Oryctolagus cuniculus: one gene and its partner. Each later gene encodes a partner of the first gene's protein in a complex. Links are inferred from orthologs where the notes say so. Each region holds a gene or a part of one and is shown in the gene's direction. Other genes may lie near its edges. The genes, in order: IREB2 and FBXL5.

Evidence for each region.
Region 2: the proteins of IREB2 (region 1) and FBXL5 are in contact, whole or in part, in a cryo-EM structure (PDB 6VCD), measured with the Homo sapiens proteins. The link is inferred for Oryctolagus cuniculus from reciprocal best matches to the Homo sapiens genes IREB2 and FBXL5. Residues at the interface, in NP_004127.2 of Homo sapiens: Asp89, Phe90, Ser129, Asn217, Val220, Glu221, Arg224, Arg228, Ala758, Gly759, Ser760, Arg763, Asn764, Thr777, Pro778, Arg779, Asn782, Ser783, Tyr784, Gly785, Ala786, Arg788; in NP_036293.1 of Homo sapiens: Asp656, Glu657, Tyr661, Cys662, Asp663, Asn664, Ile665, His669, Ala670, Asp671, Thr672, Ala673, Ser674, Gly675, Cys676, Gln677, Asn678, Leu679, Gln680, Cys687, Arg688, Ser689, Gly690, Glu691.

What each region holds. Positions count from the first base shown.
Region 1 is NC_091443.1:106,225,394-106,233,692, forward strand, and holds part of IREB2 (iron-responsive element-binding protein 2), read left to right. Parts: intron 1-2,178; coding exon 2,179-2,344; intron 2,345-3,395; coding exon 3,396-3,533; intron 3,534-4,373; coding exon 4,374-4,592; intron 4,593-7,643; coding exon 7,644-7,713; intron 7,714-8,299. UniProt on the Homo sapiens protein: RNA-binding protein that binds to iron-responsive elements (IRES), which are stem-loop structures found in the 5'-UTR of ferritin, and delta aminolevulinic acid synthase mRNAs, and in the 3'-UTR of transferrin receptor mRNA.
Region 2 is NC_091433.1:10,672,525-10,680,823, reverse strand, and holds part of FBXL5 (F-box/LRR-repeat protein 5), read left to right. Parts: intron 1-1,630; coding exon 1,631-1,817; intron 1,818-4,398; coding exon 4,399-4,581; intron 4,582-8,256; coding exon 8,257-8,299.

The sequences.
Region 1 (8,299 bases):
CACTTTGTCACCTTTCGGAAGTTGCCCTAGCAGCTTCACTGGTGATGGTTGCAGGGGTTTTTAAGAGTCAGTGTGAACTCAGGGCTGTTAATCTGTCTGACGGGTGTCGGTGAATTGCAGTCAGCAGTCGCGGATGCTCACCTTGACCCAGCAGTGTCCCCATTAGTCTTTGGTAACTGAGAGAGGATGTCCTGGGCTCATTTGTGTATCATTCTTCTCCAGACATAGAAATTGGCCGTTTCTCCTGAGAGCTTTTTGACTTTTTTAGATGAGAAATAGTATTTACAAACAATAAACTGATTTCCCTAGGAGTTTGTTACTGTTAGGTTGTCATTGTTTTGGGTGTGTTCAGTGGATAGAACTAGGAAATACGTGTGTTTTTAGAAAGAGAAGAATAAAGCATGAGTTCATACCCTTGTTTTCAATTGAAAAAACTGAAATTGTTAATTTTTTAAACGTAGCTACTCTGATTTTGTACATGTGTATCATTCCTCAGGAAACCCTTGTCTCCAACCATAGTAACAAAAATACTTACTTGCTTTCTTATACCGTATAGGACAATAACAGTGCTAACGACTTTATGTGGTTTGTTTTCTCAGTCTTTCTTCTTTTCCTTAGTGTATATCTCACTGAGGAGCCCAGTCGGAAGTGCTGTGTGGGACACATGCTGGGTTCTTCAGATCAGCCTTGCATTGTTCTCTTGGGAAAAAACACTGTAAATGTATACTTTAAATTTATGTTTTGTTATTATTTTTAAAGATTTATTCATTTATTTGAAAGGCGGCTTTAAGAGGTATATAGAGAGGAGAGAGATCTCCCATCTGCTGGTTCCCTCCCCAGGTTGCCGTGATGGCTGGAGCTGGGCCGATCCAGAGCCTGGAGCCAGGAGCCTGGAGCCTGGAGCCTGGAGCCTCCATCTGGGTCTTCTGTGTGGGTGGAGAGGCCCCACAGGGCCATAGCAGGGAGCTGGATCAGAAGTAGAGCAGCCAGAACCTGAACTGGCGCCCATATGGGACGCTGGCACTGCTGGTGGTGGCTTTATGTAACCACTGTGCCACTGTGCCACAGCGCTGGCCCCTTTAATTATTTTGCATGTGTGTGTTTAACCTCCTTTCTTGAGGAAAGGTGGTCTACTGTGAACATGGCTCATGCTGCTTTATTTATTTTTTTTTAATATATAAAGGAAGTCCTTTACAGGATTTTTTAAAAAAGATTTATTTATTTATTTGAAAGGCAGAGTTACAGAGAGGCAGAGGCAGAGAAGGAAGGGAAAGAGAGGTCTTCCATCCGCTGGTTCACTCCCCAAATGGCTGCAGTGGTCAAAGCTGAGCCAATCTGAAGCCAGGAGCCAGGAGCTTCCTCTGGGTCTCCCACATGGGTGCAGGGGCCCAAAGACTTGGGCCATCATCTACTGCTTTCCCAGGCCATAGCAGAGAGCTGGATCGGAAGTGGAGCAGCCAGGACTAGAACCAGCGCCCATGTGAGATGCCGGCACTGCAGGTGGCAGCTTTACCTGCCATGCCACAGCGCTGGCCCCATCATGCTGCTTTTCCCTTGAGGACAGAATTCTGGCGATCACTCCTTATCAGTGTGTAGAACCCTTCGTTCCTTTAATGTGAGCTAGCATGATTTATTCCCTCAGTCTTCCCTTTAAGTACTGAGGAAACACTGTGACAGAATCTGATGTGAGAATTAAATAGGACTAAAAGTTTAAAAATAGCAAAATCTGTCTCCTTGATACCCTTAAACTAGTAATCAAGAGTGAATGAGGTTCCCTGAAATGAATTTTAATCACCCAAGCGTCCTAATGGAATTTAGACAGCATAACCATTTTTTTTGCCACAATAAGAGTTTTTTTCATTATTGTGTTGAGTTGACATTGTGTGCTTTTCAGTTTTTTTGTGTCTTCCCTGAATGTCAGCTGTTCATTTTTCACGATCATAGGCCGATAGGTCCAGATCAGAGCGTCTGTTCCTTGGAGGTTTTCTTCTCTGCCTTACGTGTGGTGAAGTAGTTACAGAAGGCCTGCTGTTACAAGGGGTGGGGTCGGATTCCAGGTGTACTCACCTGAGCAGTGAGTGTTTTTGAGAGAAAAATGCATCTTTTTGTTATTGTGATTTTTAGAATATGTAGGTATGACTGTTCTCTCACTAATAGTCATCTTTTCTTTTGGATCAGATGTTCTGCCTTACTCAATACGGGTCCTGTTGGAAGCTGCTGTACGAAATTGTGATGGCTTTTTAATGAAAAAGGAAGATGTTATGAACATTTTAGACTGGAAAACCAAACAAAGCAATGTTGAAGTGCCCTTTTTCCCAGCCCGTGTTCTTCTTCAAGATTTTACGTGAGTGATAGTTTTTTGCATAGTGAATCTTCATTGTTCCCTTATTAGAAATCAGTCTCCTTGGTGGATGGCTTTTTTTTTTTTTTTAATTTTGAAGATGGGTTTATGAATTTTAAAAATTTCCCTTTCTAAAGTGAAGCAGTTCAGTAGAAACTAGACATGTATTCCTTAAAGCATTTATTCTTAAACCATTTATTATTTATTTTTGCTTAATTGCCTGCTTGTTACCTCCACATAGCTGATAGGTTTCTCAGACAACCCACCCAGTACTTGATTTCTTGACTGCCCGGCCCACGTCACCTGTTCCTTTCTAAGCCCTCTGTCCTACTGACCGGCACCATTGCCTCCCAATGGTTTAGGCCAAAAATCTAGTAGTTAGCCTTGGCTCCTCTTTGCTTAGTACTGCGTATTCTGTCAGCATATCCTGTCAGTGCTGCCTTTGAAATGTGTCTGTGTTCAAATATTTCCTACCATCTCTACCACTGTCACCCGGTCCTAGCCCCTTCCTTATCTGGACGACAGCTGCTGTAGTCTGGTAGTCTTGATTCCACACTTGCAATCTGCAGTCTGTCTTTTACATAGTAGATGGGGTGGCTTAGTTAAAAATATTATTCGGGCCTTATCATTCCTCCATGCACCAGTTGGCTTCCATCAGACTTAAAAGAAAATCCCAAGTCTTTACAATAGCCTGAAAGACTGCCTGGAATTAATCACCGTAAGAGTTAGCCTTGGCCTAAGTTTTAAAGGGTCCTAAGAGTTAGGTAGAACATTCCCTTCACGTGCCCACCAAATCTGATTTGTGTGCCCCTGCTCTGGGTTCCTGGTGTATAGTACTATCTCAGTACTTATTCTGTAAGCATTGCTATGCCTTCGCTACAGATTCCTTGAGAGCCAGAGCTATGTGGTACTTGGCCTTGTTTCATTGGTGTCTAGCACATTGAAGGCATTTGGTAAATACTTGTTACAAAAATATGTGTATGTTAGTTGTTTATTAGACAATATAAAAAGCAATTAAAACCATATTATGATTTGACCATTTTTTGTTTTGTAGTGGAATCCCAGCTATGGTGGACTTTGCTGCTATGAGGGAGGCGGTGAAGGCTCTTGGAGGTGACCCTAAGAAAGTGCATCCTGCCTGTCCGACAGATCTCACAGTCGACCATTCTTTACAGATCGACTTCAGTAAATGGTACTTAAAGACAGATGCTTGGGAAGACGCCATGCAAGTTAACCAGAGTGTGTGGTGTGGAGGGAAGGATAGAGGTGGTTTGTCCAGAGGAAAGTGTGCTAGCATACAAGAGGACAAAAGTCAGTGCATTGGCCAGGTTGCTTGTACACAGACTGAGTATAGAGCTGTTATCACCTTGTGTATTTTTGTTGCCATATTGGATGGAAATATAAGCTTTTTGGAGTGACCATCTGAGTTCAGTCTTTGTTTCCTTTTTGTTTTTTGACCTACTTACCTTTCAGAGAGAATAAGGATTTGAGCCATGCATGTCTTTAATTAATTGATTGGAAACACTGAGCTCACTACAGCTCTGTTTTCCTTCCGCTGAGATCGGTTTGTTCTGTTTCTGAAGCCCCTTGACCAAGGCCAAACTAGAGAACACGCATTTCTGTTGCCGGGCATCCACATTCTCTTACACTCCTGGAGTGACCGAGGTAGACTCCAGTGTGTTACAGCCTGCGGGAGACTTTGCCTTGTGTTTTTAGACTGTAGCTCTGAGCATCTCCTAATTTGTTAGATGAAAGAAAAAAAATTTATTTCCAAATTCTTGATAAAAGTTATTGAGGCTGATAGAACATGAGAATGATTTAATTGAGTGTGAATGTGTAGCATTATGTTTTTATCTTCATAAATGAAACTAACCTGTTTCTGTTTGTTTTTTTCTTTAAATCTGAGATTTGATTTTGTTAAATTATACATTAGCTTTCAGACATCATCCAGTTATGTTGTGTATGTTATTTGAAGACCTAACTTTTCCGTCACTTGAAACGGTTTTATTTTGTCTCCTTTTCGGCATGCCAGTGCAATACAGAACGCGCCGAATCCTGGAGGTGGTGAGCTGCAGAAGGCAGGCAAGCTCTCTCCACTCAGAGCGCAGCCCAAGAAGCTACCCTGCAGAGGCCAGACTGCCTGCCGAGGGCCCTGCGACTCTGCAGACCTGGGCCGGCACCCGGGAGCCTTCGCTTCGCAGATCGAGAACACGCCCATCCTGTGTCCTTTCCATCTGCAGCCAGTGCCTGAGTATGAGAGCGCTCTGTTAATACGCATTGGTGCAGGGGGCTCTGCGCTTCGGCAGGGGTGCCTGAGTGGGAGACGTGCTCTCCGACATGTTAGTGCCAGGCGGTGTTCTCTTGAGGAGATCAGCCCCTTCCTGCCTGATGCCTGGTGCATTCATTGCCCTGACACTCATGTGCTAGATTGCACTTACACTGTATCTCCTATGTTTCTGAAAGAGGCAAACTTAAATAAAATGATAGTCTACCACTCTTGATTTCTGCTCCTTAGGAAGCAAACCTTTCTTAAGATGTATCTGAATATATATATATTTTTTTTTTTTTTTGACAGGCAGAGTGAACAGTGAGAGAGAGAGACAGAGAGAAAGGTCTTCCTTTGCCGTTGGTTCACCCTCCAATGGCCGCCGCTGCAGCCGGCGCACCGCGCTGATCCGATGGCAGGAGCCAGGATCCAGGTGCTTTTCCTGGTCTCCCATGGGGTGCAGGGCCCAAGCACCTGGGCCATCCTCCACTGCACTCCCTGGCCACAGCAGAGAGCTGGCCTGGAAGAGGGGCAACCGGGACAGAATCCGGCGCCCTGACCGGGACTAGAACCCGGTGTGCCGGCGCCGCAAGGTGGAGGATTAGCCTATTGAGCCACGGCGCCGGCCTCTGAATATATTTTGTATCTATGACTGATGCAGGCAGAAAACAGGATCTCATTTTCAATTGGGTTTTATATTTTCGTGAATTTGTGTCATTCATACGCTGGTTCTCAATCTTGATTTCCCTTGGGTATCAGGTACCCAAGTATTTGAGCCATTTTTTGGTGCCTTCTAGGGTGTGAATAGGGAGCAGAACTGGACTGAAACCCAGGCACTCCCGTGTGGGATGCCGGTGTCTCGAGCGGCGTCTCCGTTACTGCCCCGAGTGCCCTCTCCTCCAGTATTTCATAAAGCCAGGGCTACAGTGAGCTCCTATGCTCGCTCTTTCTAGCAACTCGATATAATCCCTGTGCTTGGCTCTCAAATTGTGACAGGCTCGTGTTGTCACTCCTTATTCCTGCTACCTGTTTGTACTGGTGGTTAGCAGCCTGTTGCTTTTGTGGTTAATGTCTTTTGTATGGAAAATAATTCCAGAAAAGGAAGATTTATTGATTTAAAAATAATTGATTCTTTAGTTGCCTTTTTGTAACTTGCAGAGAATGAGTGAGTTACTGTATATTTTCATTTCTAAAATTCAATCAAATTTCCCCTCAGTGTTGCCTCTAAATTAAGAACGATTGTATTGTAATTCTTGGCTGTGTGACATAGTAAAGAATTCTTTTGTGTTCTTTAGTTCTTCTGTAAAATGTTAATTGTAGGTTCAGGCAAGAAGTTGAGGGCTAGAACGTTGCGAGCATGACATCTGACACTTGAACTCAGTGCCTGATTTGCAGGCCGGTTCAGCACTGCGTGTTTGGCCCTGTGTCGCGTCGTGCAGTGGAAAGGTGAAGTCACTCCAGTGGCTCCAGAAAGCTGTGTCCCTGAGGTCCTGAGAAGAACCTCACTGTGCTGTGGCTTCAAGTCATCAATGTGCAATGAATTCCTTTTTTTTTTTTTTTTTAAGTTTTATTTTTATTATTTATTTGAAATAGTTACACAGAGAAGGGGAGAGAGAGAGAGAGAGAGAGAGAGAGAGGTAGAGAGGTGTCTTCCATTCTCCAGTTCACTCCCTAACTGGCCGCAACGGCCAGAGCTGCACCGACCCAAAGCCAGGAGCTTCTTCCAGGTCTCCCTAGCAGGTGCAGGGTCCCAAAGACTTGGGTCATCTTCTACTGCTTTCCCAGGCCATAGCAGAGAGCTGGATCAGAAGTGGAACTGCTGGGACTTGAACCTACACCCATATGGGATGCCAGCACCGCAGGCGGTGGCTTTTCCTGCTATGCCACAGCACCGGTCCTGCAATGCGTTTTTTTTTTTTTTTTTTTTTTTCAAAAAAAGATTTATTTATTTATCTGAAAGAGTTACACAGAGAGAGAAGGAGAGGCAGAGAGAGAGAGAGAAAGATCTTTCATCTGCTGATTCACTTCCCAACTGGCCACAGTGGGCGGAGCTGTGCCAAACCGAAGCCAGGAGCCAGGAGCTTTTCAGGGTCTCCCACACAAGTTCAGGGGCCCAAGGCTTTGAGCCATCTTCTGCTGCTTTCCCAGGCCATAGCAGAGAGCTGGATCAGAAGTGGAGCAGCCGGGTCTTGACCTGGCGCCCGAATGGGATGCTGGCACTGCAGGCGGCAGCTTTACCTGCTGTGCCACAGCACCAGCCCCTGTCCCTGTTCTTTAAAAATACTGACAGATGACTGCAGATCCTGGAGGACCTGTGTAATTTAGGTTAGATTGATGTTTAGTCAGTGTCTAATCTCCAGCTGGCGGGTGGAATAAATAAATGCTGTTTGAAATAATTTTTAAAAAATATCTATTAGGTAAAATTAGTTTCCCCACGGTGGTATGATATTTACTGCTTAGAGGTGAGTTATTGTTGTCTCTTAGTTGAAATAATTAACATAAAATGCATTTATAATCCATTTAAAGAAAATTATTGATACATAAAAAAAGAGCCCTCCATTTTGGGTGAGATGAATAAAAGATTTTCACCAAAAGCTGTTTAAGCCATAAATGTGGTCAGGTGTACTGCCTCATGTCAATAATCAACACCCGTTTCCCAGTGTAACCGTGTAGGAGCTAACTGCTAAATAAGCATGTACAGGCCCCTCCTTTTTTTTTAATTGCAGTGGAAAACAAAACATACCATTTATTGAGCTTGTAGCCAAGTCTTTCATAATAATGCATTTTAAGTATAGCTTTGGACACTGGTGTGGACATTGCTTTGTTGTACCTAGTAAAATAGTAACTCCTTTCTATGCCTGTCGGGGAAGTTATTTAAAGCACAACTTCCTTGTTGGAAAAAAAAAAACCCTAATTCTGAGAAGTCTGGTAAATTGTTCTAAGGCTTTAAAAAAGTGCTTAATACACAGAAGGAGAAATACTTAGAAACAAGGCTTTTCTGTAAGATGTGAATTTAACAACAGCTCTTCTTTTCAGACCTGAAACAGTATTAAAAAATCAAGAAGTAGAATTTGGCAGAAATCGCGAGAGGCTTCAATTTTTCAAGGTATAAAAAGATTTGGGGGAGCTTTTGTACTGAAATTTGTAAAATATTGATAGGTGCAATTTTTTATTTGTATCTTTAGTGTGTTTTTAAAATTTATTTATTTGAAAGGCAGAGTTACAGAGAAAGGAAAAGACAGAGAAGGATCTTCCATCCGCTGGTTCACTCTCCAGCTGGCCACAGTGACCAGGGCGGGCCCCGATGGAAGCCAGGACCTTCTTCCAGGTCTCCCACATGGGTGCAGGGTGCTCAGGCACTTGGGCCATCTTCCACAGCTTTCCCAGGCGCATGAGTGGGGAGCTGGCTCAGAAGTGTGGAGCAGCTGGGACTCGAGCCAGCGCCCACATGGGATGCCAGTGTCGCAGGTGGCAGCTTTACCTACCATGTCACAAAGCCAGCCCCTCTTTGGTGCTTTTTAAAGCTGTTATGGTAGTTGAAAGCTTTGTTCAAATAAAATCTTACTGGAAACCCCAGTGGCAGAAGTGTCTCTGGTTCAAGGGAGTTTGGCGAGTTTGTGCCTGGGGTCTTCCTATCTGCTCATCTCTGGGAATCTTTGAAACATGAGTAGATCATTTACTGGAGCTATTGG
Region 2 (8,299 bases), on another chromosome or scaffold:
CTCCAAAACCCAGAAACAATATTGAATAGTTCAGAATCTTAGTAGAATTCTTACTTTGATGGTTTCACTACTCTTGAGTTTCATTTTCACTTGAGGTGGAGGTTGTTCTTGTGTGGAGTTCAGTTTTTTTTTTTTTAATTTTTTATTTAGTAAATATAAATTTTCAAAGTACAGTTAATGGATTACAATGGCTCTCCCCCCCCCATAATTTCCCTCCCACTCACATCCCTCCCGTCTCCCGCTCCCTCTCCTATTCCATTCACATCAAGTTTCATTTTCAATTATCTTTATATACAGAAGATCGATTCGGTATATATTAAGTAAAGATTTCATCAGTTTGCAACCACACAGAAACACAAACTGTAAAATACTGTTTCAGTACTAGTTATAGCATTACTTCACATTGGACAACACGTTAAGGACAGATCCCACATGAGAAGTAAGTACACAGTGACTCCTGTTGTTGACTTAACAAATTGACACTCTTGTTTATGGCATCAGTAATCTCCCTAGGCTCTAGTCATGAGTTGCCAAGGCTATGGAAGCCTTTTGAGTTCGCCGACTTCATCTTATTCAACAGGGTCATAGTCAAAGTGGAAGTTCTCTCTTCCCTTCAGAGAAAGGTACCTCCTTCTTTGATGGCCCCTTTCTTTCCACTGGGATCTCACTTGCAGAGATCTTCCATTTAGGTCTTCTTCTTCTTTTTTTTTTTTTTCCAGGGTGTCTTGGCTTTCCATGCCTAAAATACTCTCATGGGCTCTTCAGCCAGATCCAAATGCCTTAAGGGCTGATTCTGAGGCCAGAGTGCTATTTAGGACATCTGCCATTCTATGAGTCTACTGTGTATCCCGCTTCCCATGATGGATCGTTCTCTCCCTTTTTGATTCCATCAGCTAGTATTAGCAGACACTAGTCTTGTTTGTGTGATCCCTTGGACTCTTAGACCTATCAGTGTGATCAATTGTGAACTGAAATTGATCCCTTGGACTAGTGAGATGGCATTGGTACATGCCACCTTGATGGGATTGTATTGGGATCCCCTGGCATGATTCTAACTCCACCATTTGGGGCAAGTCTGATTGAGCATGTCCCAAATTGTACATCTGCTCCCTCTCTTATTCCCACTCTTATATTTAACAGGGATCACTTTTCAGTTAAAATTTAAACACCTAAGAATAATTGCGTGTTAATCACAGAGTTCAACCAGTAGTACTAGAACAAAACAAAGAGAAAATACTAAAATGGATAAAGTATTACATTGTACATCAACAGTCAGGACAAGAGCTGATCAAGTCACTGTTTCTCATAGTGTCCATTTCACTTCAACAGGTGGAGTTCAGTTTTTACAGTACAAGAAGGCAGTAAATTGACCTGTGTCTAACACTAAAAATGCCTGTTTATGAAACTCAGTGCAGGAGAATCCTCTGGTCTTGATGCTTTCAAGTTGCTTAGAGTTTGACTTAGCTGGAGAAAGCACAGAGAAAAGGATCCTTTTGACAACATTTTCTGCAATTTTATCTCTGAAATATACAGTCATAATAATATACTTGAGCCATTACTAATATGAAGAGTGTAGAGTAAAACAAAACAAATTAATTATCTTACCTTATGAATATTCTGTTTAATTTAGGTTTTCCAGCCCATGTTAATGGAATATTTTACTTATGAAGAACTTAAGGATATTAAAAAGAAAGTGATTGCACAACACTGCTCTCAGAAGGATACTGCAGAACTCCTTAGAGGACTTAGTCTATGGAATCAAGCTGAAGAACGACAGAAGTTTTTTAAATATTCTGTGGATGAAAAGTCAGATAAAGGTGGGATTGATATATGTAGATAGAGAACATTTTAGTTAGAGAACATTTTATTAGCTCAAGGCCTTTGACCTCTTGTTGATATGAACTGTAGATTTTGTTTGAGGAATCATTTAACTCAGGCTTACAGTGTGGTTAGTTGAAGCCTTTTAAATCACTTAACAAATTTAAATGAGGACTGTAGTTTCTATTTCATTTAAAAAATTTTAATGTGTAAAAATGGTGCTATGTATGGTGTGCCATGTGATGATGTTTTGGTACATGTATACATTGTGTAATGTCCAATCTGTGTAGTTTCTGTTTTATAATTTAGTGTTGTCTATGATTTATCATCTCATATACTTGGGTCATAAACGGTATAGTGTTTCTTGAATGAATTTATATATGCAAACAATATATATTTTGTTTTTGACAGGCAGAGTGGACAGTGAGAGAGAGAGACAGAGAGAAAGGTCTTCCTTTTGTCGTTGGTTCACCCTCCAATGGCTACCGCGGCCGCCTGATCCAAAGGCAGGAGCCAGGTGCTTCTCCTGGTATCCCATGTGGGTGCAGGGCCCAAGGACTTGGGCCATCCTCCACTGCACTCCCTGGCCACAGCAGAGAGCTGGCCTGGAAGAGGGGCAACCGGGACAGAATCCGGTGCCCCGACTGGGGTTCCGACTGGGACTAGAACCCGGTGTGCCAGCGCTGCAAGGCGGAGGATTAGCCTATTGAGCCGCAGCGCTGGCTTGCAAACAATATTAATAATATTTGGCCAACCAAAGTTATTGAAAACCACCATGAACAGAGCACTTTTATAGTGTAATCCAACATTATGGATTCCATGGATCATAGTGGCTTTTTTTTTCTTTTTTTCATTGATTTTCTAAATCATTCATATGGATGGTCCCCAATTTAAAATTGTTCAGTTAATGATTTTTTTTGACTATATGATGGTGCAGAAGTGGAAGGCATATTGTACTTCACGTTTTTTGTTTTGGTTTCTTCCCAGGCTGGCAGTATTTGGTATGATACTCTCTAGTGATGCTGGGCAGTGGCAGCCATAGCTTCCAGTCAGCCATGCAAGTCACAAAGGCAAAAGCTGACACAGCACAATGTATTGTGCAGCTAAGCTATGATATTTGGTAGATTAGGTGAATTAAATACATTTTCAACTTTCAGTAGGTTTACTGTGCTCTAACCTCATCATAAGTCAAGGAGCAAACTACTTATATTTCTACCCTTTTTCATGTATCATTCTGTATGTTTATATCCAGTAGTACTCAAGGGAGTGAGTATGACAAAGCTTTTCTGTATACAGTTACTTTGAAAGTATACCTGCTTTTTTTTTCATAGCAGACTACCTCTTTATTTTTTATTCTTATTTATCTTTAATAGTTTTGCCCTTTAAGACATAATTAAAGAAACAGTTGGCATTCTCAGGTTTGTAAAAATTTCCTTACTTCCTGATGGGTGGTAGCAATGGTTTTCCTGTTAAAATAGACTACAATTTTTTAAAATTAGTCCTTTATTCTTGTTTTTATATAATAAAGTAGGTTAAACTCATGTTGAAACAAAAATATTGTAAGTTAAGCTGTAATTAGGCCCATAAAGTTTGTATACTTTACTCTGAAATGCAGCTTGTGCCTCATATACCAAGCTAAGATCTGTTAGATCTGGTTTAATTGTAATTATAACATGAGATTTAAAAGCATCACACTTAATTATGTTTAATTTTCTTCTTCAAAGCAAATTATAGCTGTGTTATGTTTAAAATATTTGGCATTTTAAAAGTGGTAGTCTAAAGCAATTTGATCATCCTATTTCTATATTTAAGTCGTTTTGTGAAGACATGATATACAAGATTCTTAAATTCTTTGTAGTAGAATTTAGTATACATCTTTTATTTAGTACTGTATTTTCATTTGCTTTCAAAAAATTGCTGCTGAAATAATACATTGTAAGAAATACATCTAATGACTTAGTTTCTCTGGTAGTTGCTGACAAGAGTCCCTTTCATTGTATACCAGCATCAGAACTATTTATATTGTATCAACTAGTATATAACTTAGGTAAGTTATGTATAGGTTAATGAAGTTAGATACCACAGACCTTCTATATGAAATAAGAAAATTAAAAAGGGAACATGTGGAAAGTCCTAACAGGAGTCATAATGCCTGAATAGAACATATGAGATTTGTGGGTGTCATTAAAATGCCTTGGAGATCTCATAATCTGGCCTACTATATACTTACTGATTTAAAGCTGTGTAACCTGTTTGGTTCCTTTTCCAAATGATGCTACTTATGCTACAAAGTGAGTATTGTTTTTGCTGTAATGCTTTTGTAAGAGGAAGTCAAATGTGTATTCATTATTGTAGCTCCCACTGGTGGAGTATGATTTGGGCTATGATAGTTTAACCCTACAGGTTCTTAACAATTTTAACATCCTCATGGGACCTGTAAAACATGTTACTTCCTGTTCACATCTTGCAAGCAGGAAGGAATTAACTCCAGGTACTGGATTTTATTTATAGAAATGTGGTTGTAATTTCTTGTTGCGTTCTTAAAGCCTTTACTGATAATTTTTTTCTTTTTTATTTCAGAAGCAGAAGTATCAGAACACTCCACAGGTATAACCCATCTTCCTCCTGAGGTAATGCTGTCAATTTTCAGTTATCTTAATCCTCAGGAACTATGTCGATGCAGTCAAGTAAGCACGAAATGGTCTCAGCTGGCAAAAACCGGATCACTTTGGAAACATCTTTACCCTGTTCATTGGGCAAGAGGTATGTTAATGGGACTTTTAAATTTTTTTAAAAAATACTATGATGTATTTTTCTAGGTGAATACTTGCAGTCATTAGTAAGCAGAATCAGGAAAGAAAACTGAGAGGTTGACTAAAAAGTGGATTTCATTGTTAGGTGATGAATTCTTGGTATACATTTTTGAAAAGCTAATAATGGTAAAATGTTCATGGCTAAATTATATGGTGTCTGCAGTTTCCTTCAAAATAACTAGGAAAAATAGTCTGGGGAGGAAATGCAAAGATTGACAAAATGTTGATAAATGTTCATGATAGGTAATGGGGTACATGGAGATTCATTGTATTAGTTCTTTCTATATTTGACTATGTTTAGAATTTTTCATAAAACTTTTAAAATTGATTTTCAGAACAGTTAAGTAAATTATTTGAGATCTTTTTTTAAAAAAAGATTTATTTATTTATTTGAAAGAATTAGAGAGGGAGAAAGATCTACCATCTACTGGTTCACTCCCCAAATGGACCCAGTGGCCAGGCCTGGGCCAGACTGAAGCCAGGAGCCAAGAGCTCCATCCTGATCTCCCATGTGGGTACAAGGGCCCAAGCACATGGGCCATCCTCTGCTGCTTTCCCAGGCACACTAGCAGGGAGCTGGCCCGGAAGTGGAGCATCTGGGACTCAAACTGGTACCTATTTGGGATGCTGGCACTGTATACAGTGACTTCACCCTCTTGTGCTACAGTGACAGCCCTTTGAATATCTTAAAAATAGAGAATTCTATGAAATTTTAAGATGAGGTACCATTATGGCTTATCTTGGTGGTGAATCAAAATAATCTATTTTTGTCTATAACATTTTTTGTGATGGGTAATTTCTCATATCACAAACTCATTAATTTCATTGTAGTGTGTTACTTACACATGTGAATAGTTAAAGAACATTTTCTTTTCATGAGCATATTTTACAACCATGGATTCTCATAGCTCATGGCATCTCCTGTCACTGAATTAAAAGTGTTTTCTAGGTGAATATTAACTTAAAAATTTACATTAACTTTTTTATAGTTCTCCATTTTGTGAGATTTTAACATGGAAATATTTTTTTAAAAAAGGTTTGTTTGTTTATTTATTTTAAAGGCAGAGTTAAAGGGAGGGAGGGACAGAGATCTTTCATCTGCTGGCTTACTTCCCAGATGGCTGCAACCACCAGAGATGAACTCGTCCTGTCAGTGGCCAGGAGCTTCTTTCCGGTCTCCCACATGGGTGCAGGGGTCCAAGTACTTGGGCCATCTTCCACTGCTTTCCCAGGTAAATCAGCCGGGACCTGAACTGGTGGCCATGTGGGATGCCAGCACTCCATATGGTTGCTTTATCTGCTACGCCACAGTGTTGGCCCCAGAAATATGTGTTTATCACATCATTTTGTGTTTGATTCAAATTATGAATATTTTAAAAAGTTCTTATTTGTTCCAATAGTATATAAAATTAAAAATGTTAGAGGGGCAGGCGCTGTGGCATAGTTGGTAAGGCCACTGCCTGCAGTGCCGGCATCTCATATGGGTGCCAGTTTGAGACCCAGCTGCTCCACTTCCAATCCAGCTCTCTGCTATGGCCTGGGAAAGCAGTAGGAGATGGCCCAAGTCCTTGGGCCCCTGTACCCGTGTGGGAGACCTAGAAGAAGCTCCCAGCTCCTGGCTTCAGTTCGGCACAGCTCCAGTTGTTGCAGCCAATTGGGGAGTGAACCAGCAGATGGAAGATTCTCTCTCTCTGCCTCCCCTTCTCTCTCTGTATAACTCTGATTTTCAAAGAAATAAATAAATCTTAAAAAAAGATATTTAATATTTTTGAGTTAAGCTATTTGGAGTGTTGGGTAGACTTATATGATCCAAATAATTAGAATCGTTATTTTTTATGCAGAATAACTTTTCCTGTTAGTTGTAGGATAATGAAATATTGAGTGAGCAGTTAAATAAGAGATGCATCAAGTACTTTTTTGTTGTATCCAATTATGAGTTCTTAATTGAAGACGACTTCACATATGAATGCAAATGTAATAGTGCTATTAGTGAATGCACTCAAAACTTTAATATGCCTTTTTAAAAAAATGTATTTAAGCAAGGAGTTCCAATAAAAATGGTTTTTATATATGGGATTTGTTTTGAGTGGTTTTCAGTCCAAATTGATTTTTTTCTTTTTTGACAGGTAGAATTATAGACAGAGAAACAGAGAGAAAGGTCTTCCTTCCGTTGGTTCACTCCCCAAATGGCTGCTACGGCTGGCGCTGCGCCAGTCTGAAGCCAGGAGCCAGGTGCTTCTTCCTGGTCTCCCATGAGGGTGCAGGGGCCCAAACACTTGGGCCATCTTCCACTGTCCTCCCGGGCCCCAGCAGAGAGCTGGACTGAAAGAGGAGCAACCAGGACTAGAACCGGTGCCCATATGGGGTTAACCGGCGCCACCCCCACCTCCCTCCCCACAACATTTGAAATGTTTGGAAACATTTTTTGTTCATCCCATATTGTTTTATTCTGGCATCTAGTGGGTAAAGGCCAGGGTTGCTGCTAAGCACCCTACAATCCACAAAATAACCTGTAACAAAGAATTTCTGGCCAAGGGCAAGTGTTGTGGCATAGTGGCTTAGCATGCCACTTGGACCTGACTACTGTCCTTCTGATCCAGCTCCCTGCTAATGCATCTTGGGAGTCATGGGACGATGGCTCAAGTGGTTGGGCCCCTGCTACCCTCATGGGAGACTTGGATGGAGTCCTGGTTTCTGGCTTTGGCCTACCTCAACATCGGCTGTTCTGGGCATTTGGAGGGTAAACCAGCAGATGGAAGATCAGTAGATCGCTATTTCTCTCGCTCTCGCTCTCGCGCGCGCTCTCTCTCTCTCTCTGTCTTTCAAGTAGATAAAAATAAACAAATAAGTATTTTTAAAAAAAGAATACTCTAGCCGGATATGTCAGTAATATTAAGGTTGAGAATCCCTATTTTAGATGTAGTATTAAGAATAAATACATTAATTCTGCATTGTCTTTCACAGTAATGTAGTTTAGTTGCAATATATTTTCCAGGATTTCTATTTATGGTTTAGCTTTACCTTAGTCTTTCCCTTTGAGTTCTATTCCTGCCTACTTCTGAATTAGAGTCCAATATGCTTTGGTTTACTAGCTAGCATTGTATTGGGACTGTCTCAGGAGCCAGGTGAAGCCACAGTAGGGGAAAAAGGTTAGGTTGTTTTCAGTGGTTTCTGAAGTTTCATGTAGGGCCATTAATAACTACTTTTTCTAGAAAAGATTACAACCACTAAGTCTATTCTGTAAAATATAACAGTTGGAAAACATTGCATACAGAGAATAAATACATAGTAAGGGTATAGCAGTCTATGTACATTTTTGTAGTTCTGTTGTCAGTTTTAGAGAAGGATTTACTTTGGGAAAATATGAACTATTGATAATTTGTTAGTAGTATTAACTGAATCCATATATAGTCCTAGTTCTTTATTATGTTTGAAATGGAAGCATTAGCTTATTTAAGTGTAGGGTTTTTTGTTTTGTTTTGCTTTCTTTAATCCATAGTTAAATACTTCTAAAAGTAGCTGGTCTTTGCCTGTAACTTGGATGTTTCCAGTGTGTAGAGGTTTTTATTGTAAATAGATAGGTGATCTAATCTGATTTTGTTCCTCTTATTTATTCACTGGATAGGTGATTGGTATAGTGGTCCTGCAACTGAACTTGAAACTGAACC